Linked DNA regions of Saccharomyces cerevisiae S288C. The protein of the gene in region 3 interacts with the protein of the main gene of each other region in a biochemical or structural test. Each region holds a gene or a part of one and is shown on either strand. Other genes may lie near its edges. The genes, in order: ZRG17, ALY2, CNA1 and ATC1.

Region 1 (4,589 bases), on a different chromosome or scaffold from region 3:
ATACACTTCCAGGGAACGTGATCAAAATGATCTTCAGTGCGACATTGACTACCAACACAGAAAAGTTAAACGGCTTGAACCTTTACAAACCAAAGTTGTTCCTGAAGCAAACCGATAAATTGTACCAGCTACCTAACAAATTGAATGAATTTAACATCAACATTCCCACGGCGAAAAGTGTTTACAAGCCATTGATATTGTTGTATTCAATATGCCAATTTATGGCACATTCCCCCATTGCTGCAAAGATTTTGATTTTCGTTAAATCAAATGAATCGTCTATCAGATTAAGCAAGTTACTACAACTTATCTGTGAATCTCGCTCACAATCCAGCGTATTGAAAAACCTTCAAAATTTGGCGGTGAGTATTAATTCTGTCAATTCAAACAACTCCAAAGCAGAAAATAAAAAAATTGTTGCGAACTTCTCGCATCACTCGGAAAGCGCAGGCATTACCATCTTAATTACTACCGATATCATGTCCCGTGGTATTGATATTAACGATATCACTCAAGTAATAAACTATGACCCACCAATGTCTTCTCAACAATATGTCCATCGTGTTGGTAGAACAGCAAGAGCTAACGAACTTGGTTCCGCTTATAACTTACTAGTAGGTAGAGGTGAAAGAACGTTTTTCGATGACTTAAACAAAGATCTAGATAGAGACGGTAAATCTGTCCAGCCATTAGAACTCGATTTTACCCTATTGGAATCTGATTCTGAACTATATACTTCGTCTCTAGAAAGTTTGAAAAACTATCACAATAACACCGCACAAGCTTAATTTCTCACTTTCCACCTTCGCATCCATTCATTTATAACATTCAAACATTTTTTTTTTTAGTCTCATTCTAATAACTCCTGAGTATAGTAATATTAATATGTATGTATTGATGGGTATGTAACTGTAAAATTATATTCGGTCTATGTCTATTGTAGTTTCACACGTTGGAATGCTCGTTTGAATGCACTTGTCAATGGCTAACCTTAACATCAATTCGTCATCGTCGGAGCCTCCTTTCATTGTTATCTTGATCAGTACCACATAAAGCGTAAAATTCACTTTGCTTATTACTATATCATCGTAATTTAGGATGTATCTGGATTTAAACTCACTTAATCTCTCGATTTGGTCCTTGATCATGTTCTTAATGGTTGTTGGATTTTCAGTGAAACCTGCAGAATTCAAAAACCCAGTTTTCCGTATCTTTGTATTCTTTGTTGCTATAGGTAGTGAGCTCATTGATCTTGGTCGTACAGATGGTTTTTCTTTAGCAGCTTTAGACTCGACTTGTTGAGTATGGGCGGTCGTATCAGTGCTGTCATTATTATTGAATAACGCTGAATTGGATAAAGATGTGGTGGAAAATCCCATTAGTAACACTGTCGAGGTCCACCGTGCTATAGTCAGCCCATGCCATAGAATTAAACTCGAAATAACCAAAGTAGCAAGGTAATCGGATATACTCGATAACAGATCCAATAGTAGGGGATAAATGAATAGGTATGCTGTATAAGTGATGGTAATAATCGGGTTCTTCGTCTTTAAATTACTGTATTTGTTAGCATAAAACGTCTTATAAAGTGATAACGTCGATAACACTAAATTGATCATTAGTATGCTATACCATAAGGTAATATTCTCGTTTTGTGAATCATTGGCATTGGCAATGTGGGAATGAGGAATTTGCTCATTAATTTCATCGTGATCATGGTTATTCGTCAAAGAACTACCAGATTCTACAAAGAGGACTATGAATTCTTCAATTATATGGAATAAAAGGTCCAGCCCAACAAAGCATAACGAAACGGCAAGCGCAAAACTTAGTAGAACGTCTATTCTATTTAACCCGAATGGAAATGTGATAGTGCCTGTAAACCATACCTGGAACTGAGACAAATTTTCCACAAATATGATTACCAGCGAACCGATGATATCGTAAGTAATAAAATGCGATAGTGTAATAAAATTACTCCATGAGTACAGGTGTCCGACTTGGAAAGTAATCAGACATGCAAAGATTTGTAGAGCGGCAATAGATAACTGAATATAAGCCTTTGGCCATGGCAAATTTGACAGCAAATCATTGAAATCTGGAATGGGAAGAGATTTGGCAATGTTCAAAGGAATTTTCACCTCAGGCTCTTGAAAAAAATTCATGGATACAGAGGAATGCTTATAACGATGCCCCTTACGAAATGAGGTCCTTGATGCAGCTGAAGAGGGTGGTGTCTGTTGATGCGGTTGCAGCGTTGATGTCGTAAAATTAAAGGGAGAATCCAAGGTCATAGAAGACCTCTTACTGCTGCCAGCATCGGGGGAAATGCCTCTTACCGGTGATCTTGTTCTGGGAGGAGGCGGCACCAGCTTTGGTGCTGGTATATATTTGAGTGATTGCCTTCGTCCTTCGTTGCCTTTTCCCTTCATCAAAGCAGCTTCATTGATATTAGCATTACTAGAAGCGTTTTCACCAAAAGTGAACGAAGGATTGTAGATGATACTAGAACTGGAATTGTTACCTTCCTTGGCAGAATAAAATAGGGAACTGGGCCTAGGTGATGCAAAAAATGTCCTGTTTTGGGATGGTATACCGTCTACATTCCCGACAGCGTTCATATTGGACAAAGAAAACGATGAAGCATCGGAATCATTCAATTTAGGAGTCTGGAAAGCAACTTCCGGAGACAAATTGTCCTCCTCTTGTATAGCGTTCATTTGCGGCGTCTCCATAGCTCTTTCCCTATTCTATAATCTCGCTCACAAGTCACTAAATATTCACTTTTTCTCTCTTAGTAACAAAAATACCTTCAAGGTTCATCATTTTCAGTAATGAATATTCTTGATATTACGCAATAGGACACTTGTGGAAAACTTTTTGAGGTTGCGTTACCCGCGCTGAAATTCGAGAACAATAAAGATCATCATCTCTCATTTTAGCTACATTATAACATAAGAAGGTGCATTTAGTTATCTTATGTGGACTAGGGTATGACAAACATGGCTGCCAAGAATCAGTTCAAAGGAAGCAGCTTCACACTAGCGCAGCTAATCGAAGAAGTCGGACGTAACGGAGGAAAAAAGCCTGTGTTCCAGTATAAGGTACCACGGTCGATACGATGGGCTTCAACTGCTCTAGCTGTAGTGTTTCTCACATATGGCGCTGCATACACTGATATGTCGTGGAGAACTGCTCGAGAAGTGTACGGAAACGCTACTGAGGAAGAAAAACACAGCCCGTGGTTCAAGTGCAAAACTTTTGGGCCTGTGGCTTTAGGGGTTTTGCCTGTGATCCTCGCTGCTGCCACGAAACACGTAACGTCAAGACTAGTCACAGAAATGAAATATCTGCCACCGCTCAAGAATAGTACGGTGCCACGGTGTCAATTGACTCGACGCACTTACTTGTTAGGAAGACCAGTTTCTATCACGAGGGAGATCAATGAACTGTCTAAAAATAAGGCCACCAAGATCTTCACAGGAGTAGGTTCTCAAGGTATGGAGGATAAGGCCACCTTTGTTTTCTTCACAGTGGATGAAAAAGCACCCTCATTTTTCAATAAATTTTACATTTTCTCGAGATCTGGTAGCGTTGTGAAGAATGACGCCAGGATCTTGGACTGCTTTTTCAACAGTGTGGCAGAAAATAAGCTATTGAACAGGTCAATATTAACTCAGATCCTTTCACATACGTCTGCCAAGACCCTATTTCACTCGGGGAATTCTAGATCATCCATCAAGAATATCGTGAAGCCCAAATAGGTACGGACATCTACGTAAGAATGCATGTAAATAATAATCGAATAAAAGAACAATTAAACACTTGTATATGCACGCTATATCTACAAGAATCCAAACAGTCTCAAGATGTAGTCGACTGCCAAGGCGTACGTAAAGTAAAGTCCGGTGTTGATATTTGCATTAAAATACTTCCAGCAGTTTTTAGGATTGTCAAGATCCACTTTCTTTATCATGCTGAAGAGTCTATAAGCGAAGACTCCTAGTCCACCAATGAACCCAGGCCCCCATAACAACCCACTGTTCAAGCCGGCGACAGCTAACAGTGCGATTTGAGACGCGGACATGGCCTTCATGATAGACTTTGTGCGTGGACCCCAAGCCAAAGCGGTAGACTTGATTCCAGCCTTGATGTCAAACTTTTTATCCTGGTGTGCGTATATAGTATCGTAAGTCATACACCACAAGTAACTGCTCAGGTACAAAGGTATCATTGTAGGCCAGCTCATTACACCCATGGCAGGAAACCCAAGTAACGCTCCCCAATTGAAACATGCACTTAATGCAGCTTGAGGATAGTACGTAAACCGCTTAAACAAAGGGTATGTGAACACAATAGGTAACGATGCAAGGCCTAGCCACCAACACTGCGCAGGAAGCAAAGATAGAACGCCCATTCCAACAAGAGTTTGAGCCCCCAAGAATACTAACGCCCGACGGGGGCTCACTCTACCAGAGGCGATAGGCCTCTCGACGGACCTGATAACTCTTTGATCCAACTTTCTATCCAAAAAATCGTTGATGGTGCAGCCAGCACCTCTCATTACCAATGCACCTACACCGAAAATA
Region 2 (9,736 bases), on a different chromosome or scaffold from region 3:
TAGTTATATGGTATCAGATTGGAGAGATTTAACTGCAAATTTGATGGATTCTGTGTTTATTGATAGTAGCGGGAAGAAGTCAAAAGACAAAGAACAAATAAAGGAGAAATTTAGAAAATTCAATGAAGGATTCGAAGATTTAGTATCAAAAACAAAACAGTATAAGCTTTCAGATCCATCATTGAAAGTAACTTTGAAGTCAGAAATAATATCGTTGGTTATGCCCATGTATGAAAGATTCTACAGTAGATATAAAGACTCTTTCAAGAATCCTAGAAAGCATATCAAATATACCCCTGACGAACTAACTACTGTTCTTAACCAATTAGTGAGATAGATTGCGAACATCACTTTTCAAAAAGCAAAATTAAAGAAAAGAACGTACCATAAACAGATATAAACATATATATGTATAACAATTAGAGTTTCTAATATTTTATGTTTGCTCTGGACGCCAGATGTAAGAACAGGAAGGGATGACGTAGGAACCTTGTGCTAGACTAAAGGGTACTCTCATTTATACTTTGTAATCCAGATTCATTATCTAACGTATTAATCAGTACTTTCTCGGGTGAAGAAAGTCTTGAAATAAATCTTTCCTCGGAATCAGAATTCTTAGAGCTTTCCGTTAATCCTGAGCCCTGTGTGAAAATGTCATTATTATGATCTGATTCGGCAGAATTTTGTGCATTAGCTGCATTCAAGAAATTCTCGTTACTTCCCAAAAGTGGAGAAAACTGATTGTTATCGTTATCGTTTTGTAAAGGATGCCAAGCAGAGGAATTTCTAGCGTACGGCGCAGTGATATCAATCGTAGTATCTACTGAGGGTTCAAGTAGATCAACGTATGAATCATTAGGCCTTAAAAAGGAGTCTTCATTAACTTTATTAGTCAACGTTTCCGTTTTACTCAGTAATGGTTCCATGTTCAACTTGTCCTTGCTTATATTAATTCCTGAATAGTCAAAAGAGGATCTAGCTGAGGCGGGGGTGCTCGAAGTATTTGTAGAATGTCGATTTAGTTCATTTTTATCATGATTTTTAAGTTCGTCTTCTATTAAAACTTGATTTAAATCTGTGAAAAAAGGATTATCGTGTCTTATTGTGGACGGTAAATTATCTTGAACACTTTCCCTTCTATTCAATGATCTTAATGATTCATTGCTCAGATTTCCTAAAGCTGAATGCGCAAATCCGCTATTATTTGGTGAGCTATGTAATGAAGACGATAGGCTTAATACTCTTTTTCTGTTCTTTTCGTTACTTTGATTCCCAGTGGATGTCGAGTCTTTGCTTTCCTCGCGTTGTGGGGTTGATAAACTTTTCACGTCCCTATTTTCTCTCTTTTTAGGAGTTGTCTCTCTTTTGTGTTTATTTTCTTCTATCTTTGACATCGATTCTTTTTTATTCAAAGTTTCTGAAGAATTCTTATCCGAATTTTTATTTGGATGGGAAGCTTTTAAACTTGGAGGCGTCGGATGTTTGGAATTAGGCCTCCTTTTTTGATTGTTGTCATGCAACACAGTATCCTTATAAGATGGTGGATCCCGTGGTAAGATGCTCGACTCTGATGAAGATACCTCAGTAGTAGTGGTTCCGGAAGCAGCATCAGATATGAAATCGGAAGAAAAGTCAAAATCTGGCGGAGGCACTTCCATATTTGACATTGGCGATGTTATTGGAGAGAGCGGGATTGCCTGGGGTGATGCTAATTCTCTTTGCAAACTCTCCGGTTGATATATGTTGGATTTCAACTTTGCAGAATTGAAGATGGTATTATCACTCGGATGGGATTTTGAGTTCCTATTGAATTGCCTAGAGTTTCTGGTCAATGAAGTGGAAGGTAAATGTGGGATTAAAATGTCTAATGGTTGGACATTGGGCGAAAGTACTGGAGACGAAAGGACTTCCTTGGGAAAGAAAATATTAGAGTTATGGTATAGATTTATATTGTCATCAGACGATTCCAATATTGAGGAAATTGAGGAATCTGTTTCTTTTGGAAAAGAAGCAGGATGTCCATCATAGCTCGGTAAAAGGGTATTTGCATGCGAGCACAATCTATGTAAAACATGTATTGGCGAGTCAATACTAATTTCGTAATGTTTCCTTTTATTATCTACTACTCTAGACAGTCTCAGGCAAATTTTAATCCAATGGTTTGCTTTGATGTTTTCATAAGAAGTATCTGGATGCAATTGCTGATGGTTGTTGAAACGACTCGGAATAAAAATCTGGTACTCATACTCTTTATTCACTAAATCACCATTCTTTGGATCCTGCAACAGGTTCCCCATATTCTTGGCCTTTGACAAATTTGCATCATTGGGCAAGTTCGGTAATTTAGGACCTTTCTGTTCTGTCAATAAAAATTTCTTGGTGGGCTCCATCCTATGAACCTTCTTTTCTCTACAATAATACTCCATTGTCTCTGTCACATAAATTCTTATTCTATGCAACGTAACTTTATCGAGGGGAGCGAATTTGAACGTGATAGGCAGAAAAGCATCTAAAATAATATCCTTTGATGCTATAACGATATCATAATATAATTGGTTTTCCCAATCTCTAGATATGATAATCGGCTCACTTTCTTCCACAGAATTATGAGCCTGTGTCCGTACGATATTAACCACTTGCCGGGCGCTAATGTTTGATTTAAAGGCACCAGGTCTCTCTATACTGGCAAATAAGAAGTATTCCACAAATCCGAAATCAGCTTTAATAGATTCTGGGTATGCTTGAGGAATTAGTTCTTCGAAAGCATAAATATAGTCGCCTGGTTGAAAGACAAAAAATTCTCCTCCAGACCCGCTGGTGAAGTTGTTGCTTGTCATTGCCAGATGATTGCTACTGGTGGGGATATGATGACCATGATGCGATGCTGCATCATTATGGGTAAAGGTGTTATTCAACAAGTCGGAAAAGATGGAAGTGGTCGTAGGTTTATAGTTGTGGTGAGACACGGAAGGAGACGTGGCTCTCTTCAATAAATTTATCGGGGATAGGTTTCTTGATGGTCCATTGGAAGAAGTGACTGACGAAGATCTAGATCTTTGTCTACTTTCTCTGTCTTTTACGTTGACAGAGGAATTTCCAGGTGCACCTAGAGGTGACAAGTTCAACGAGGACAAACCTGATATAGAATTTTTTCTGCTTGTTATAGTTTCATTATCAGACAGTGTTCTATAAAGAGAGGCACCACTTTCCTTCGTCAAAAAATTATTAGCTGCATTGTTGCTCTCATTAGGTGCGGAAGCATCCATCTTTTTCTTGCTCTTCTGTTCAGTTGGCGGATATAGAGCCCATGTATGGTCTACAATATCTTTGATTTCCACGAATTCTTGTCTTTTAGGAGGGATACCTTCAGGCCATTCAGTTCTAGAATATCCTTTGAACGAAAGACTTATGCTTTTCAGCTTTGTGGGTTTCAGTATTCTTACCACTAGACAGCCCCGAAGAACAACCGAGGGATATTCCGTCTTCTGAGGGTCAAAGCCTTGGAGGAAAACAACTGGTTCAGCTAAATGAATAAAAAGCTGTAATGATGAACTTTGTGCCAAGGGTGTAGCATCGAGGGGGATATCAATATCCTTTTCCATGGGAAACAATGGAGATGAGATAGATTGGTCCATGGGCATCTTGAAAAATGACTGATCTACAATGAGAAAGGCTGGAAAAAAAAAAAAGATGTTTCAACGTTAAAAAAATAAAGGACTAACGGTAATGAATAGCGAAGTCTACAGACTAATTTGCCCTTTTTAGTCTCTCTCAATACTCACAGACTGCTTGTAGCGTAATTAGTACCTATTCTTAAAAGACGAAAAGGAGAACTAGCCAAGTCTTTTTTTTTTCCCAAATTGGACCATATCGGATTAAATTTCTTTTTTCCGAAACTGCAAATCCTCCAGAGAATGTTTTAATAAAGGAAAACCAATGAAAGACATTTAGCAGAATAACAAAGCAAAAAGAAATGACAGTGAAGAGTGATAGGTGAAGGCGTTGAGAAATGAGAGTTGTTGCCATGGAGGAATGGGTACTGAACCCTCTCACAGAGGCGTCACTAATTTAAAAAAGGAAAAAGGTGTTATATGTATTGGGGAAAGGAGCGATGAATTTTTGGGTGATGAATGAAACAGTGGGATGAGATGAACTACAGCAATATGGTTTGGTCTTAACGGCTGTCATGACAAACTATTGATCAGGGCCAGTATTTGTATCATTATTGTTATAATTGAGAATGAAGAAAGGTTAGCCGCTGAGAGAACCTTCTTCAAATTATGTTTTTTTTGCTTTTTTTCTTTTTGGGACGGCGCGCGATAGATGGCGCAAGGGAGTTGCTCTCCGTTCGACATCAATAAATTGGTTATAAAGTGACGTATTTGGTTCCTTTTTAGTAATTGATGAAGAGTGCGGGATGGCCTATACAAGGAAGAGTCGATTTAGTGCCGGAGAATACACGCCCTGACGTTTGTATAAATGCATTTCCCCAAAAAAAAGCATTCCGGAAATCTCTCCGTGGTGGAATTGCCGAAGGAAGCTCTCCAAGATTCTTTAACTGCTGCTCAGATTACTTTCAAGAGATATGCCCACCCCAATGGCAATGCCGGTAGCGCAGAGAGGCCGAGACATCTAAAGGTGGAATCTGCGCCTGTCGTGAAATCTGAGCCTTCTTTGCCGAGGATGAGACAACCGGAACCGAGAAGTATAAATCATCAATACTCTAGGGAAACGCTTCCAGGCCATTCTGAAGCCTTTTCCGTACCGACGACTCCTCTGCAGACAATCCATTATGATGTAAGGAATAAAGCGTCAAATTCGCCAAGTAGTATAGCAGCTGCAGAGACAGCTGCATACCTAGCCCACACAAATTCATTTAGTAACAGATCATCCGGTGTCGGCAGCCGGGATCCAGTTATGGATACTGAAACAAAACCGCCACGTGCTCCTTCAGCCTTGAAAAATGAGCTGCAATTGAACAGAATGAGGATACCTCCGCCGTCATATGATAATAATGTTCGTTCACGATCTATTTCGCCACAAGTATCCTACTCTACCTCGCTGTCATCATCGTGTTCCATAAGTTCCGATGGAGAAGAAACTTCTTATAGAGAAAAAAGCACCGATGAGGCATTTCCTCCTGAACCTTCCATGTCTTCTTATAGTCTTGCGTCCAAAGCCTCAGCAAAGGCTTCTCTAACGGACCCCTCACAGCGGCAGCAAGAGTCAGACTATACGGCAATGAATAAACTCAATGGAGGAAATATAATATATAAAGGCACTTTACCCGACCTAATACCGCGAAGCCAAAGGAAGACAAGTAAACCCAGGTTCAAGCACAGGCTTTTACGATCACCTGAGCAGCAGCAAGAAAACTTATCACGTGTGTATTCGGACCAAACGCAGAATGGTAGGGCAATCATAAACACGCAGCAAAATGTAAAGTTAAAGACAACTATGAGGCGCGGGAAGTACGCAATTACAGACAATGATGAAACTTTTCCCTACGACAGAAAGTCTGTATCATCAGACTCAGACACAGATGAAGATTCTAATGTGATGGAAATCAAGGACAAGAAGAAGAAAAGTCGTCGCTCTAAGATAAAGAAGGGGTTGAAAACAACAGCAGCTGTAGTTGGGAGTAGTACCTCTGTCCTTCCGTTCCCTCATCACCATCATCATCACCATCAGCTCCATAACCCGAATTCTCATCACTTACACACGCACCATCATACAAGTTCTCACAAATTCAATGAAGATAAACCGTGGAAATCTCATAGAGATCTCGGGTTTATTACCGAACAAGAAAGAAAAAGATACGAGTCTATGTGGGTATCAAACAGATACTCGTATTTGCGCTTGCTGCCGTGGTGGCCCTCTCTCGCGAATGAAGACGACGAGTCTCACTTACAGCCCTTAAATTTACCGCAAGACGGCCTGATGCTTAACTTAGTCGTAAAAGATATATGGTATCGATCAAACCTACCCAGGGATCTTCTAGTGCAAATATACAATATGGTCGACACAAGAAAAGACGGTACCTTAGACAGAAAATCGTTTATAGTGGGCATGTGGCTGGTTGATCAATGTCTCTATGGCCGAAAGCTAACGAATGAGCTGGACCAGAGAGTTTGGAATAGCGTTGACGGCTATGTTCTCGGTACAATTAACGTGAAGCCTGCCACTTCCGATCACTATCACAACGCTAATAACCCTCTAGATAAGCCATCAAAGCTTTCAGTCCGACAGGAATTGAAAAACATCAAACGCGATCTCAGAAATGTCAGAATATGATGCCTGGCATTATTTGCAGAAGTTCTCTTCCTGTGTTAATAATGAATGACGATGAGTTAACAATGACCCTTATGTATACAACGAAAGGACGAATGAAAGAAATGAAAATATTATCTTTTTTTTTTTTTTTCTCAATTTTCCTTCACTTTTAGAAGTTTTTCCGTTCCGCGGATTTTGTTCGTCGGACCTTTTGCTTTATTTGTCTCCAGATCTCTCGAGCATAATGGTCGTTTTTCATTTCATGCTTATAGTCTTTGTCTTTCCAGCGGTACCCCCACCCCCTATCTTGGGCTATTTTCTAATTTCGTCCCTCGGATTATTTAATTCATATTCTCCCCACCTTTGTATTACTAAATTTATTTTCCAATGCTCTTTTCACTCATTCTTCCTTTTGCATATTTCTATCAGTATATATAGCGAATTGTATATATAAGCGTCTTGTTACCGGTATAGGAATTACCTGATAGAAAGAAATAGAACATAATAGGAGGAAGGGCAAACAGTGCGCCAAAACGAAAGATAGTAGAAGATGTTTAGAGTATTTGGTTCATTTGGATCAAAGGGTAATCAATCTTCTGGTGAAGAGCAATCAACAAAGACAAAACAGGTTCTGAAGCAGGCTAATGACTTTGAGATCGCCTTAAAGGCAATGGATTTTGTCCTTGATGATAGAACGGATGAAGGGTTGAATTTGCTGAAAAAAGCTGAAATGGAAACTGGTTCAGATCAAACTATCTTGACTTTGGCAAGAGGTGTTATTGAATTTCTTCAAGCCACTTTGAGTTTTGAAACTGAAGAAATGAAAAGAGCTGCAATTACTTTAGGCAAAGCTGAGCAAATGTCCTGGAAAAGTAAGCAAAATGCTGAAAAGACCAATTTTAGGAGCAGTTCAATATATCCTCCCGGTACTGTCTATGCTGTAACATATACTGAGTCATGTCTGTTGCATGCCTTGTTGATGTTATTTAGTGAAAGCATGATGGAAGCAGCCAAGGCTTTGCTAAAGTTAAGGAGGGCTTATACAATGTTACAAGATATCATGGTTACTGTCAAAAAAGCTGAACGATCGAAAAATTCGAGCTCTCCCTCTCCAAGCGAAAAGAGCCAAGAGTCATGCGGAAGTTTTGTTTCTGCAGAGACAACTTTCATATCGGTTGATATACCATACAAATTGTCTTCCGAGGACAAGTCCAATCCACTCCTATTGGAATTTGCTGAAAAAATCTACACGATGAGAATGGGAAGGTTATCAGGTGCCCATATTGGCAATACTCCATCTTTTCATAGGTTAAGGGATGATTTGGGTTTACAGACGACTCCGTCTCAAGCTTCCGACCGCCATTCTGTTTCAGATGATTTCGATTTAGAACAGGCTACCATCGACGAATTCATCCATTCAGGTGCTAATTTATGCTATGGTATCTTGCAAGTCGTCTTATCCTTACTTCCACCTGCAATCGGTGCTGTGCTATCTATTGTTGGATTCAAGGGATCCCGTGAAGAAGGTTTGAGGCTAGTTTGGAAGGCTACAAAGGAGAGAAATGTTCACGGGTGTATAGGTTTGTTAGGTCTGATGTTTTATTACGACGGTCCTTTCCAATTTACAGATGCTGACTTTGATATACCACCAAACGATAATGGATCGAGGGCTTTAAACAAAAGCAGAACAAACGATAGTAGCCTTTTACCAGGTTATATGGACAGTGCAACCTTATTGCATCCTGGAAAAATTCTGGAGGACGCATTACTAAAAGCAAGAGCACTTTTTCCTAATAGTGCCCTGTGGCTGCTAAATGAGGCCAAAATGCTTGCTGGAAAGGGCAGGCTTCGTGATTCTCTGGCCCTAATGGACTCTATTGATGTCAATAGTATCCGTATGAGACAAGTGAAATCGTTGATGGTGTTTGAACGTGCGATCCTTTTAGTCAACTTACACGAATACAACAGAGCTGCCGATGATTTAATAAGTTTGCTTGATATTAGTGATTGGTCTCACGCATTGTACACTTATTTTGCGGGTTGCTGTTACTTGGAAAATTGGAGGATGACACAATTAGGCTTATTAAATGACGGTAAAGAACAATTCTATAAAGAGCGGGCTCGAGAACTCATATTTGACGCTCCATCTTTGTTAGGTAAGAAAACGTTCAAATCCAAAAATCTTCCATTGGATAGATTCATGCTTAGAAAAGTTCAACAATTTAATAATATGCAGAAGAAATTAAACCTACAAGAACCACTAGACTCAATAGCAACATCACCTGTCCATGAACTGGCTTATTTCTACAACGGTTACAACAGGATGACTGAAAACGATTTAATTTTGACCAAAAAGATGTTGACAGAGTATCACAACCCCGCCATTGATTCGGAAGACCCAGATCAAGAGCTGATCAGAAACTTACTACTATCCTTGACCTTAAGAAGATTGGGGGATGCTGAAAGAGGTTTAGCCTTGTTAGATGACATTGTTCTGCCAAAAATATTCTACATTCAAAATGGCAAAGTCAAATATTTCAAAAAAACCGAAGACCCATGGGCATATCCAGCCGCTCTTTATGAGAGAGCTTTATTCTGTTGGAAACTGGGTGGCATGGAAAGTTTGAATGAATGTAGGGAATGGCTGCTAAGAGCCCAAAATTATGCCGCCGATTACGAATTGAGTACGCGTATCGGTATGAAGATCAAAGCCGCCCTTGATAGAGTTGAAAACGCGCTTGCTTAACCTTTTGCTTCTTCCGCCCCAACATTTTAGAAGTATGCATTTTTTTTTTTCTTTCGACTACTTACCTTCCCTTGCTAGCAGTTATTACAACCATCATTTTTTCGTGACGTTTCATAGTTTTTTTATATTTTTACGCAATGGGTTTCCCGAGTAGTTAGTTCTACGGTGTCGATATATATAGTGTTATGATTTTAAAAATGAACATATTTAAATTTTTGAACCTCCTTCTTAGTTATAGGCCAAGTTCATTACTCCCTAGGAAACAAAACCGGTCCATCGTAGAAATTTTTTTTATTTTACAAAAGGGTTATAGTAGAATCAAGACAATTTATTTATCACTGAGATATTGATCGAGTAGATGAATGGTCGCTCAAACTGCTAAACTGAAAGGCGACTTGTCATTCAACAACGTTTTCTATTCCTATCTAAACCTATCGTTAAGCAATCTTTCGACGCCCACCTCTTCGTATTCCTTTTTCCCAACCCACAGTTGGTGAAATGTTCCCAGACTTGTAAGTATACTACCGCCAAGCCATGACTGGTATTGCCTTTCGATAGTGTGCCCTGTTGTTAATATTCTAAATTTAAGGGATGGTAGTATTTTGTTTAGTTCTGTCATTAACCTATCACTTAATCCAGGAATAGAGGATGTACCGCCTGTAAGGACAACATTATGAGCTAGTGTCGCTCTTAGATCCACATCACTGCTCATTATAG
Region 3 (3,991 bases):
GGTAATGCATCTACCTCCCGTTACTTTTCCGAATCAGACAGTGTTTTGGTCGCACAAGGTGTCTCCGGTGCTGTCGTTGACAAAGGTTCTATCAAGAAATTTATTCCATATTTGTACAACGGTTTACAACATTCTTGTCAAGACATTGGTTACAAGTCCCTAACTTTATTAAAGGAAAATGTCCAAAGCGGTAAAGTTAGATTTGAATTTAGAACCGCTTCTGCTCAACTAGAAGGTGGTGTTCATAACTTACATTCTTACGAAAAGCGTTTACATAACTAATTGGTAACTAGGGTTCATTAATAATAAAATAAAACTAAAAAATATGTGTTTATATTTATTCTGCTCGCAGTTAAGTATGGAAATCAAGAAATAGACTGGAAATGATCTATATTTTCTTCGTATTTTGTTAGTTCATATTATCTCTTGCGGATCGTGACAGTAGCACAAGAATTCGATGTTGCATCTCATAGGAATAAAAAAGAATAAAATGAGATTTATCACAGTTGTGGCTTTTTCTCCGCTCCCTTTAATATTTTTTCGTAGTATTTAATCTTCTCTTGTTCAACCTCCGATAAAGATGGTGGTAATTTTTCATTAATAAGGTCTTCCTTTCTAGCCTTTTCAAAAGTGCTTAGCGTTTCATTCAAACCTTCAGTCCCACGAGCTAGAGCACCACGAGGTAAGACACCGGCATTCATAGTTTTCAAATATTCCACTTTTTCGCTCTCTTCTCTTAGCACCGAAAACATTCTTGAAACTTTAGCAATAGCTAATATCTTATTTCTCAAAGCCTTTCTTCGGGTTTCATCTTCTAATATCGCTGATGACGCCTTTTCATCAGATGGGGTGCCGGTCTCCTTAGTTGCGTTTGCTCTTGCCTTTACAGTCTCCTCCGCAGCTTTGGGTTCCGATTCTGGGTCAAGTTCCTGCTCACTACATATGTTTAATATAGACACTAACATGCTAGTAACTTTTTCGCCAACAAAAGGTAGTGACCAGGTGAAAACATCCATAAAATCAGGCAACCAGTAAGGGTGCGGAGACATGTGAAACTGCCTGATGTTCATGACGTTTTCTTCATATTTTAACACAGCAGCTTTATTATGATATGTGTCCAGGTAGTTTGGCGCACTGAACATGGTTATTAAGCTCGGGAAGCCTGTTACTTTATTGTTTTTATACATTCTGTACCCAGCATCCTGTGCTTCGTGTGCTCTAATAATAGATAACAAACCATTTGCCTTCAAAAACTTGCATGATGCTTTAAAAGTGAAGGCGAAAGAGCAACCCCTCAAACTGTTAGGTACGAATTCATCCTCGCTCTGATCAAATTCGCTACCATCTCTTGCATCATCATAATTTTCGACAGGATCGGCCCATAGTAGGTCACACATGAGACCACGAGATGGGATTTCTCGAAATCTATTAATTTTATTAACATCCTCTACTGATTTTAACTCTGGAGAGATACCACCATGCACACAAAAATATTGTCCGTTCATTAAAGCTGCTAATGGTAAGACATTGAATGATCTGCAGCAAGCATCGTAAACTTCCATATCGTATTTGTGCAACATCTCATTCTTAAAAGTAAAATAAGAGGTCAAGTGCTTACACTCATGGTTACCTCTTAGCATCCAAAATCTCCCTAAATTATTCAACTTCAAGGAGTACAAATAAATCAGACACTCAAAAGAGAATGCACCTCTATCAACATAATCCCCCAAGAATAAATAGTCGATTTCGGCGGGGTCACCGCCAACTTCAAACAGTTTCAATAAATCATAATACTGCCCGTGAATATCACCACATATAGTAATTGGCGCTTTGAGTTTTAGTAGATTGGGTTCTTTACTCAATGCTACAGTTGACATATTTAAGATTTTTATGGCCTGTTCCTTAGAAAGTCGACCCTCATGAAAGAAATGCTCTCTTAAAAAGGAATGATTAGGTAATCCCGTCTTGGAGTCGAATACTTCCTCATCACTTGGTATCTTTCCTGTTATGGCAGGTACAGAAGCGATAGGTCGGTCCTTAGTAGAAATTACTTTACCGTTTTCTAATTCGTATTTTGTTAAATCTTTTTTCCGGTCAACCTTTATGTAAGAGTCATTAGGTTTAATGATTTTGATGCGTGAAGAATTCAAGTCTTTCGACATTGGCGTTGAGAGTGTTTTATGGCAGCTGAGCTAATACGTCAAAAAAAAAAGAATCTAAAAAAACTTTTCTTTGAATAATACCTTTAATAAAGCAAATATTAAAGGCTTTGCTTCGTTCTTTTATAATAATGCCTCTTGATTCAAAAACATTAAAGGATTTATACATTTTTCCCTTTTGTTTCCCAGTAGTACGTTCTTTTTCAGAATTGGAAAATTCATGTTTCAAGAGGCGATGACATGAAAAATTTTGAAATAGATATAGATGAATATCAAAATGATTCAAACAGTTTGTATTTATTGCAACAGGAAGAAAGGTGGAGTCCAAAGAAATCTGCGAAAAATTTTTATAGTGATAATCCTTACGGAACAATGAGCACACAATATATTGATGAGACAGCATTTGTTCAGGCTGAGCAAGGTAAAACCAATCTAATGTTCTCTGACGAAAAGCAACAGGCACGTTTTGAGCTCGGTGTTTCCATGGTTATTTATAAGTGGGATGCGTTGGATGTTGCCGTAGAAAACAGTTGGGGTGGTCCAGACTCAGCTGAGAAGAGAGACTGGATTACAGGGATTGTAGTAGACCTTTTCAAAAATGAAAAAGTTGTTGACGCCGCTTTAATCGAAGAAACGTTACTTTATGCAATGATAGATGAATTTGAAACTAATGTTGAAGACGACTCGGCTTTACCGATTGCCGTGGAGGTCATCAACATATATAACGACTGTTTCAATTTAAATTATAATAAGGTAGAAAAATTGTATTTGGAATGGCAAGAAAAGCAGAGAACTAAAAAATCAAAAAGAGTTGTGCATATTGAGGGTGATGATGATGAAGACGATGAAGATGTAGAGGACTATGATGACGAAGATGAAGATGAAGAGATGGACGAGGTTGTACCTGACTTAGTATCGTCTAAACCTGAACCAATTGTTGACGAAGACGGTTTTGAATTGGTTCAACCAAAAGGAAGAAGAAAGCACTAGTATCTTCAAAATCTGTATATTATAATTGATAGTGCGCTGCTTTTTTGCACTTCCAGTAAGAAATAGCAACAAAATTAGATAAATCTCGGTGGAGTTATCCAAAATATGTAATATATATCAAGAAAGTTACGTATTAAACATTGGACTTCTAGAGGAGATCTTCAATATAGATTTAAAAGGTGGGCAATGCATCGCTACGTGAAGATTTTTACTTTTCTTCAACATGTGTATTTTTTATGTTTCATATTTTTATATTTTGTGTTTGCTAAGGTCTAATCGTTCAGCTAAGTTAAAGCTAAGTATAAGAAGCAAAAAATACTAAATTATACTAAATTATAAATTTTCGTACATAAATAATCATGAGGTAGATGTTTAAATATGTAAATAGTTTCTTTTTTCTTCTTTGTGATTGTCAAAATTTGTGTCTATCTATACAACCCTCTAGAGGTATATCTTAACTGTGTATTATCATCAAATTCGTTATTATTATAATTGTCATTATCGCTATTAATGAATTTAAATTTCTTGAAAAAAGAAGATGTCATTTCCAGAAATGAAAAAGATTCTTTTCTGAAGTTTGCGATCTTAAATAGTCGGATGTCGGTTCCAACCCAAATGTTATTTTCAATTATGTTGTTTACAACGCCGGGACTAATTTCTTCTTCAAACATATAACTATTCAAATTATCTGTAATGATTGACGTGCTGACATTTGGATCTCTTTGACTAGCCTTGGTGTCATCACTGCCACCATTGCTGTTATTTCCACCCCATTTCCATTTGAAAAATGAAAATCCGCCGTTACTACTGTTGTTGCTATTACCATTAGTGGAATTATTGTT
Region 4 (7,195 bases), on a different chromosome or scaffold from region 3:
AAATTTTAACGAAAATTCAACCAGAAATATTATTTTCCGGGGATGATCATGACCATTGTCAGATATCACACTCATATCCGTTTCAGGGGAAAACTAAAAATGCTCAAGAAATTACAGTAAAGTCATGTGCAATGAACATGGGGATCAGTAGGCCTGCTATTCAATTGCTCTCCTTATATAATCCTTCAGATTTGACAATGGTAAATGCCGGCGGAGAGTATGCATCAAAAACTTACCAAACAGAGCTATGCTATATGCCAGATCCCTATAAGGCAATCAGAATGTACCTATGGGGATTATTATTCTCTGCTGCCTTTATCGCATACATGCATTTTTTCCCAAAATCTTTTAATAATCGCGTAGCAACCATAATGAACAGAGTATTTACACGACCTGATGGTAACACCTCAGATTTGCCATTACCTACAAGTATTTCCAAATCGAAATCCAAAAAATCATTGACACATAGTAAATACGCTGTGAATGATACGCGTTCGATCAAACAATTTCTAGTTAATGCAATTGTCCTTTTTGTTTCTGTGATGCCCATTTTTATTTATTTTTATACTGTAGTCTAGACAGAATTACTGCTATTCTCTTCCAGGATCAAAATGCTTTGAAGGGAAACGTCTGGCTATTTAATATATGCGAATACACCTTATATACAGACAATGAACAAGAGATATAAATTATACCGGGTGTGGTATTACTATGCTCACCAAACAGTTTGCATAACCTCTACTGGATTTGCATTATGTTTTGTGGTCCAAGCTAAAACTGCAGGACTGGGCGTAACACCAATTACTTCACTATACGGGGACAAAAAAGAACACCTAGGTAAGTTGTTGGTTCCTTTAGTTTTATATCAAATTTAGCAAGTCATGACGGCAAATTTCTTTGTAAGCTTTGTTTAAAAGATGGATACAAAAGGACGACTTTCCTTTCAATCTTTCGTTTTTGCTTTTTATTATTCCATAGCAATATAGTGATCATAGTAGTGTAATTTTTAGAGTTTAAAAAACACGAAAGTAGGATGAAGTACAAAAGATTAACGAAAATACTCCATTCTCTTAACAACTCATACGTATATGAAGATTAAATTAATATGGAAGATAAATTAGACAGATACTACACAAATGTGCTTTCAAATGCTGAAAAGGATAAACACACAACTGTCGATAGCGATGACAAAAGTAGTGGCGAGGAAAATTTAGATGAACTACTTAATGAATTGGATAGAGAATTAGACGAGGATCATGAATTTTTGAGTGCTTATCGGTCGGAGAGGCTACAACAAATATCAGATCATTTAAAACAGGTCAAGAAGAATGTTGAGGATGACGGATACGGTAGATTGCAGTGCATTGATAACGAGGCAGATGCTATCCAAATATGTACAAAGACTACTATGGTGGTCATACATTTTGAATTAGAAACATTCGGTAAGTGCCAGTATATGAATGAAAAACTGGAAAACTTGGCAAAGAGGTATCTAACCACGAGATTTATTAAAGTAAACGTCCAAACATGTCCATTTTTGGTTAATAAACTGAATATTAAAGTACTTCCGTTTGTAGTTGGATACAAGAATGGCCTAGAAAAAGTTCGCTACGTAGGATTTAGTAAACTGGGAAATGACCCTAATGGGTTTGATATTAGGAGGCTAGAGCAATCTTTAGCCCATTCAGGTGTTATAGAAGACACATTCGAAATAAGAAAGCATTCATCTGTGAATACGGAACGCTTCGCTTCTACAAATCATGATAGAAGTGAAAGTGATAGTGATTTAGATATATAACTAAATAACCATTACCTCCCTACTAAAAATGACTCGATGGTCTTTTAAGCCATACGCATGAGCGAAAATGGTTCCTCCTGTTCAAACTAAATCGGTTATTCGAGCGTACCGTTGAAAATTTAATAAAACGTTTTGGGGGATTTATAGAAAGTTAAATACGAAATATGCGTATAGTAATGTTTATACATGAAACTCAAAAATGCGACTGTGTTCCTTAAAATAATAAAAGTTGAGTACGAATAACGATGACTGAGAAAGGTAGTGTATATTGTATATAAAATTGGACCATCTTTGTAGTAAAGACAAAAAAACCAATAAATGCAGATAAACTTAGCAGAACTAACTCTAAATTTAACTTTCCTTGGATGATTTTTCATTGAGTTTTTGAGTAAGTTCTAGGATTTGTTGCTTCAAGTCATCATTCTCAACCAATAAATGTGCTCTGTGAATTTCACTATCCTTTAAAGAGTCCATAGATTTTTTCAATTGAATACAAGATCTCGCGTAACCTTCTTTAATAAAATTGAAATTGAGCAGCAATTTATGAGTATTAATTATTCTTGCCTTCATTTCCGAAATTTGACTTATTGTAAACTCATTTGTGAACTTAGCAGGCTTCGTTGCAGATACAATGTCTTGTCTTGCAGAATCTATTTTAGATGTTATATCAGTAATCATGGATTCTATTTTTAGGTGGGATTCATTAGCGTCGGATGAAGCTAACGAAGATGAAGGTGATAGGGATGCAGGGGATAACATGGGTTCATTTGTGGTTTTCAAAAGGGATTTTTTCTTCTTGATGGTGGGTTTATCTATCTTATAGTTCTTTTGTTCTTTATCAGGTTTATGTACGTTATTTTGGTTTGTACTTTTATCTAATGATGCCTTGCCAGTATAACCCTTTTTATGCCTATCGAGATCAATACCAACTAGGCTATCATTAGCACTTCTCTGCATTTCCAAAAGTGTGCTCGAATCGGTGTTGTGTTCATCGTTAAATAAAGATTCCAATGTTAGGTGTTTCTGAGAAGCGATGTCGGAATCAAAAATATCAGTGCAGTCTAAATTATCCATCATAACTTGTTCGAGATCCTTTCCCAAATCTAAACTCTGCCCATCAATCTTTACTGTATCATCAAAATGATTATTTGCCTGAGTGAGCAGCCGATGCAACGTATGTTCTATATTGGCATCATCTGTTAAATCTGTATTCGGATTGGACTGATTCGTGTTCATTATCTTCACGTTTTCCCTATCACAACCTTAGTGTAACTTGAACCAACAAAATTTAAGATGTCAAAACTTCAATCAAGTATTGAGCTCTTCAATAGGGCACTAGCCCTCTGAAATTTTTCATTGAAAATACCGTACCGCATGTTTTTTGGAAATTTTTCATCTCATCGCTAAAGTGGAAAAAAAAAATTCTAGAAACTGAAAAAAAAGAGAAAAAAAAATGACAGAAAATATTTGATTTATATCAAGATGACACGAGTTTGCAAAAAGAGAAAGACACGCTATAGAAACTATTTTGGCAAATTAATCTATTCACTTATTTTTGAGTTTCTGAGTGTAGTTATATGCAAAGAGGCTATAAATCCTTATTTTTTTGAGAAAAAATGCTTGAGAAAAAATGCTTGAGAAAAGATGTATTTTTTTTTATTCGTTAGCATTTTTCCAGATATCGTTGAACATTGCTAGAATACTATCAAACCCGACTTTCCCCTTCACCGCGTTATCACTAAAACGTTTAACGCCCCAGTTTTCTACTTTCTCACTAAAGGTTTTGGTCGGAACACCAGACAGAAACTTTGCATCCTGCTTGAAAAGAGTCACATTCGATGGATTTTTCGGATGAGGAACATAACGTACGGTTTCGTAACACTTCAAAATATGCGGGAAGGTCATATTGCAACTCCTCATAGTTAAAGATCTGTCCCTTCGATCAACGGTGGAGACCTCTCGCACGTATGCTAAATTAGTGTTCCCCACTAAAATGGACATCCAGTGAGGGGTGTTCTGACGTATGGTTATCAGCCGTTCTGTAAGAAGTACATCGCCATGTTCTTTGAGCTCTCGGCGGAGCACATCGACTGCAATAACGTGTGTGGAGATCTTGTTTGGATATTTCATCCAGTTCGCCGTGGTGACTTTCTCCCATGGGTAATCGAATTCATAAGATTTTTGAAATGATTTCATTATTAATATATAAGCTCGAGAGATATATGACTAATAGAAATATTTACTTGAACTTGTCGATTAGAGAAAAGAAAATGCGTTGCTTGGACCGCAGATCCCACTTATTGTTTTCTTGCCAAATGTAACAAGATCTATAGGTTTATGAACTTTCTTCGAAAATCTCATTACTTTTTTTGATAAATAAACGGGCCCCTTGCGGACAAAGCCCTGAAAATTGAAGATTTACGCAGTATCACGTAAACCCAAAAAAAAAAATACAATATCGGTTAAAGTGCTGTTTTAATTTAGAATATATGTTTTACTAATCTATTTATAATCAAGTATATGTGTAATTTGGCTTTTTCCCTTGCCTTGTGCTTAACCTAGTTTTTTTCAGGTGATTATTTTACCGGGCATTACCTCCTAATACCCATCCTCCCATGTTATCCATATCATCTTCGCCGTATAAATCCAGGGTGACGGCTTTTTTATAAACGGGTTTGGTGACTGTAGAATTCGAGTTTGAGTATTTCACTCCTTCAGTTGTTACATCTGTAAAGCCTGCACTATCATTGTCATCATAGAGATTTAGATTGAAATTATTGGAATTTATACCAGTATTATTGTCGTTATCATTATCATTATAGTTATCATTGTCTGGGTGATTCGGTACTATTGTGCTATTAGTCGAATCGTTATCGTCCTCGCGTTCTTTGGGGAGAGATCCAGACATGATTTGGTCTTCTTCCTCGAGATTTAGTAACCTATGACTGGAATTGTTACTATTTTTAATGCTATTCGCCATCAACGCATCTGTAGGCGTTCTGGACTTGAAGTTTAGTGCCAAACCATTCTTTTCCATGTTACCATTCATCAAGGTGCTAAAAAGGTTAACTGATGGTTGTCTTCTCAGTTCTTCAAATGACTTGTTGATCAAATTCTTCTCAAATAGCAAGTTACTGTTTGAATTATTTCTCATTAGTAATGGAGATGCCTGTTGTGTATGTTGTGGAATTGGTGAATTCAAGAATTTTTGCTTCTTACTTGTGTCATTTAATAATTTGGAAAATGCGTTTGATACTGTAGACATGTCATTCAACGAGGAGTTTGAACTACTTGCGCTTGTAGAGGGCGTAGATATTCGGGAAATAAATTCCGGAGGTATCAATCCATTACTAATAGAAGGAGCCAAGTTTCTGTTCATCAAAGATTTCCTTTTAATAAGCGTTGCAGACGATAGATTCTTTTTGTTGTTGATAGTGTCTGTCCCGTCAAAATCACCATCGTGCACGTAGACGTTAGTAAAATGGTTTGAAGAGGTCGATCTTTTAGGTGATGAAGCCCCTGCAGAATCGGGTTGTTGGCTGTTTGGAAATTTCTGGTTGAACGGCTTTTGCAGAGCAGGGTCCATTAAACTCAAGGACCTAAACCTACCCCTTGTTTCCTTCGAATTTTTTGCCATAGAATCTATTCCGGAGGATAACACGTCTGTGCTCGAACCAGAGCGGGACAAAATGCTTGGAGCGTAAAAGCTCAAACCTTCATCGTCACTCTCATCGTCATCGTCATCATCGTCATCATCGTCTTCATCATCATCATAGTTGTCTTCATTTCCACCTTCTTCATCATCGTAATTAAAGCCATATTCATCTGCGTATGAGGTTCTATCCTGCTCTTGTTCCCCTCGTTCTTTTGTATAATCGTCATAATTATTATTGTTGTACAGGACAATTTCCTCATTCTTAGCACGGTCTTGCACTTCGTTGATTTGGTTGTTTAACTCGTCATATACTAGTTCGTCGTTTGATGGTGTCTTTCCGTAGGGGAAGGGAGAAGGCGATCTGGACATATTAGAACTAGAATAGGATTGTGAACGGGAATGTGGATGCAGATGCGATTGTAAATGCAGTGCAGTTCCCGAAGGCTGCTTGCGTAGGTTGGATTCCTGACCAATAAGATTGTTGATTGACGTTGATGGGATAGTTGTGATGGATTCGTTCGTTTTGAACATATGTGCCCTGTTGGATTTTCTGTTGATAGACAACGACCTAATTCTGACGGACTTGTCTTTATTGGAGGTTAAAACCGAGTTTTGAAAATTCAACAACGACGAAGAGTTTCTTTTCAAACTTGTGTTGCTCTGGTCGTCGCCCTTATCTTCGTTAACAGCATCTGAATATTCATGTAGCGCTTTTATTGATTCCTGGGAGATAAGGCTGGTGAGAGGGTGGTCTGACAACAAAGTCAGCAGTGCTTTTACCCCCGTGCTATTCGTGACAATAACTATGGAATCCAAGACAGTCTGGTCTTGCATGCTACCATTGCTCTGGTTTGAGCCGGTGAATTTCTCGTTCAACTTGGTGTAGTACTCTTTGAACGGGAGTGACTTGGAGTTCTGGATTGTCTTAGTGAAAGAACCAATATTCTGCCAATTAATGATTTTTAAATTAAGCAGTTCTGCGTTCAGGAAAGTAGAAAACCACTTGAGAGAGGTGGGAGAAACGTTGATCTGGAAACATAGGTTTAGTTTCTTTTGAACATACAAGTCTTTGAAAGAATTAAACAATTTTTCAACCAAAAATCTTATGGTCTCCACGTAACGTAAAGACCCCGAAGACGACACCAGTACATTCAGATCAAACTTGTTTTCCGGTGTGCTGCGAGAGCTGATCAGACTTTTCAACTCCTCCCAAAACTTATCGTTATCTTCCGCAGTAGATGTGTTGGAAAAACTTTGCGCGATCGAATTTCTAAGCCGATGCAGCTTAAACCGTTTATTCAGTCTGGAAAGCTTGTTATGAGTCATCTCATCGTTGTAGTAGTCGATCGTAGGGATATCTATGTAAAGTAGGATGTTAAGCTTCTTTAGCGAAGGGTACCGGTCCGCCAAAGACGCTTGTACCACTGTCTGCTGCATGTTGGAGTAAGTGATCAGAAACAGCGAGTCCTGTGACTTCACACTAACTTTTGGTGAAGTGGACTGGGCAAAGCGACGCTCATTAATGCTCGCGGCTGCTGCGTCCGTACCGACAGTGTCCATCGTAGTGTAGGCTTCCCAAAATTTAGGATGTGATTAGTAATAGTGGTTGATTGCGAGCTCCGGGATGCGAGGGAGAGCGTGTATGTGTACTTCAAGTTCGCCAACTTCTCTCTTAAATAGAAAAAGAAAAGAAGAAAAAGGAAACGAAAAAAAAAAAAAGTAGGGAAAAGCTGAGTGATGAA

What was found.
Region 1: the proteins of CNA1 (region 3) and ZRG17 form a complex in vitro, tested with the Saccharomyces cerevisiae proteins (one study listed by BioGRID).
Region 2: of the proteins of CNA1 (region 3) and ALY2, one has a biochemical effect on the other in vitro, tested with the Saccharomyces cerevisiae proteins (one study listed by BioGRID).
Region 4: of the proteins of CNA1 (region 3) and ATC1, one has a biochemical effect on the other in vitro, tested with the Saccharomyces cerevisiae proteins (one study listed by BioGRID).

Annotation. Positions count from the first base shown.
Region 1 is NC_001146.8:696,697-701,285, forward strand, and holds ZRG17 (Zn(2+) transporter ZRG17), read right to left. Parts: upstream 2,736-4,589; coding exon 918-2,735; downstream 1-917. Other genes in the region: putative ATP-dependent RNA helicase DBP6, read left to right, coding at 1-788; MRX15 (Mrx15p), read left to right, coding at 2,994-3,764; COQ2 (4-hydroxybenzoate octaprenyltransferase), read right to left, coding at 3,845-4,589.
Region 2 is NC_001142.9:274,362-284,097, forward strand, and holds ALY2 (Aly2p), read right to left. Parts: upstream 3,642-9,736; coding exon 501-3,641; downstream 1-500. Other genes in the region: GTP-Rho binding exocyst subunit EXO70, read left to right, coding at 1-337; TAX4 (Tax4p), read left to right, coding at 4,480-6,294; IML2 (Iml2p), read left to right, coding at 6,824-9,019; ARP4 (Arp4p), read right to left, coding at 9,441-9,736. UniProt on the Saccharomyces cerevisiae protein: May regulate endocytosis by recruiting RSP5 ubiquitin ligase activity to specific plasma membrane proteins in response to extracellular stimuli.
Region 3 is NC_001144.5:1,003,847-1,007,837, forward strand, and holds CNA1 (calcineurin catalytic subunit A), read right to left. Parts: upstream 2,163-3,991; coding exon 501-2,162; downstream 1-500. Other genes in the region: IMP dehydrogenase IMD3, read left to right, coding at 1-282; TSR2 (Tsr2p), read left to right, coding at 2,532-3,149; ECM30 (Ecm30p), read right to left, coding at 3,575-3,991. UniProt on the Saccharomyces cerevisiae protein: Calcium-dependent, calmodulin-stimulated protein phosphatase. This subunit may have a role in the calmodulin activation of calcineurin.
Region 4 is NC_001136.10:828,480-835,674, forward strand, and holds ATC1 (Atc1p), read right to left. Parts: upstream 3,035-7,195; coding exon 2,150-3,034; downstream 1-2,149. Other genes in the region: putative lipid phosphatase CDC1, read left to right, coding at 1-578; YDR182W-A (uncharacterized protein), read left to right, coding at 672-875; PLP1 (Plp1p), read left to right, coding at 1,106-1,798; UPS3 (Ups3p), read right to left, coding at 3,455-3,994; SND1 (Snd1p), read right to left, coding at 4,380-7,013. UniProt on the Saccharomyces cerevisiae protein: Involved in cation homeostasis and in the regulation of the cation stress signaling cascades. Also involved in bipolar budding.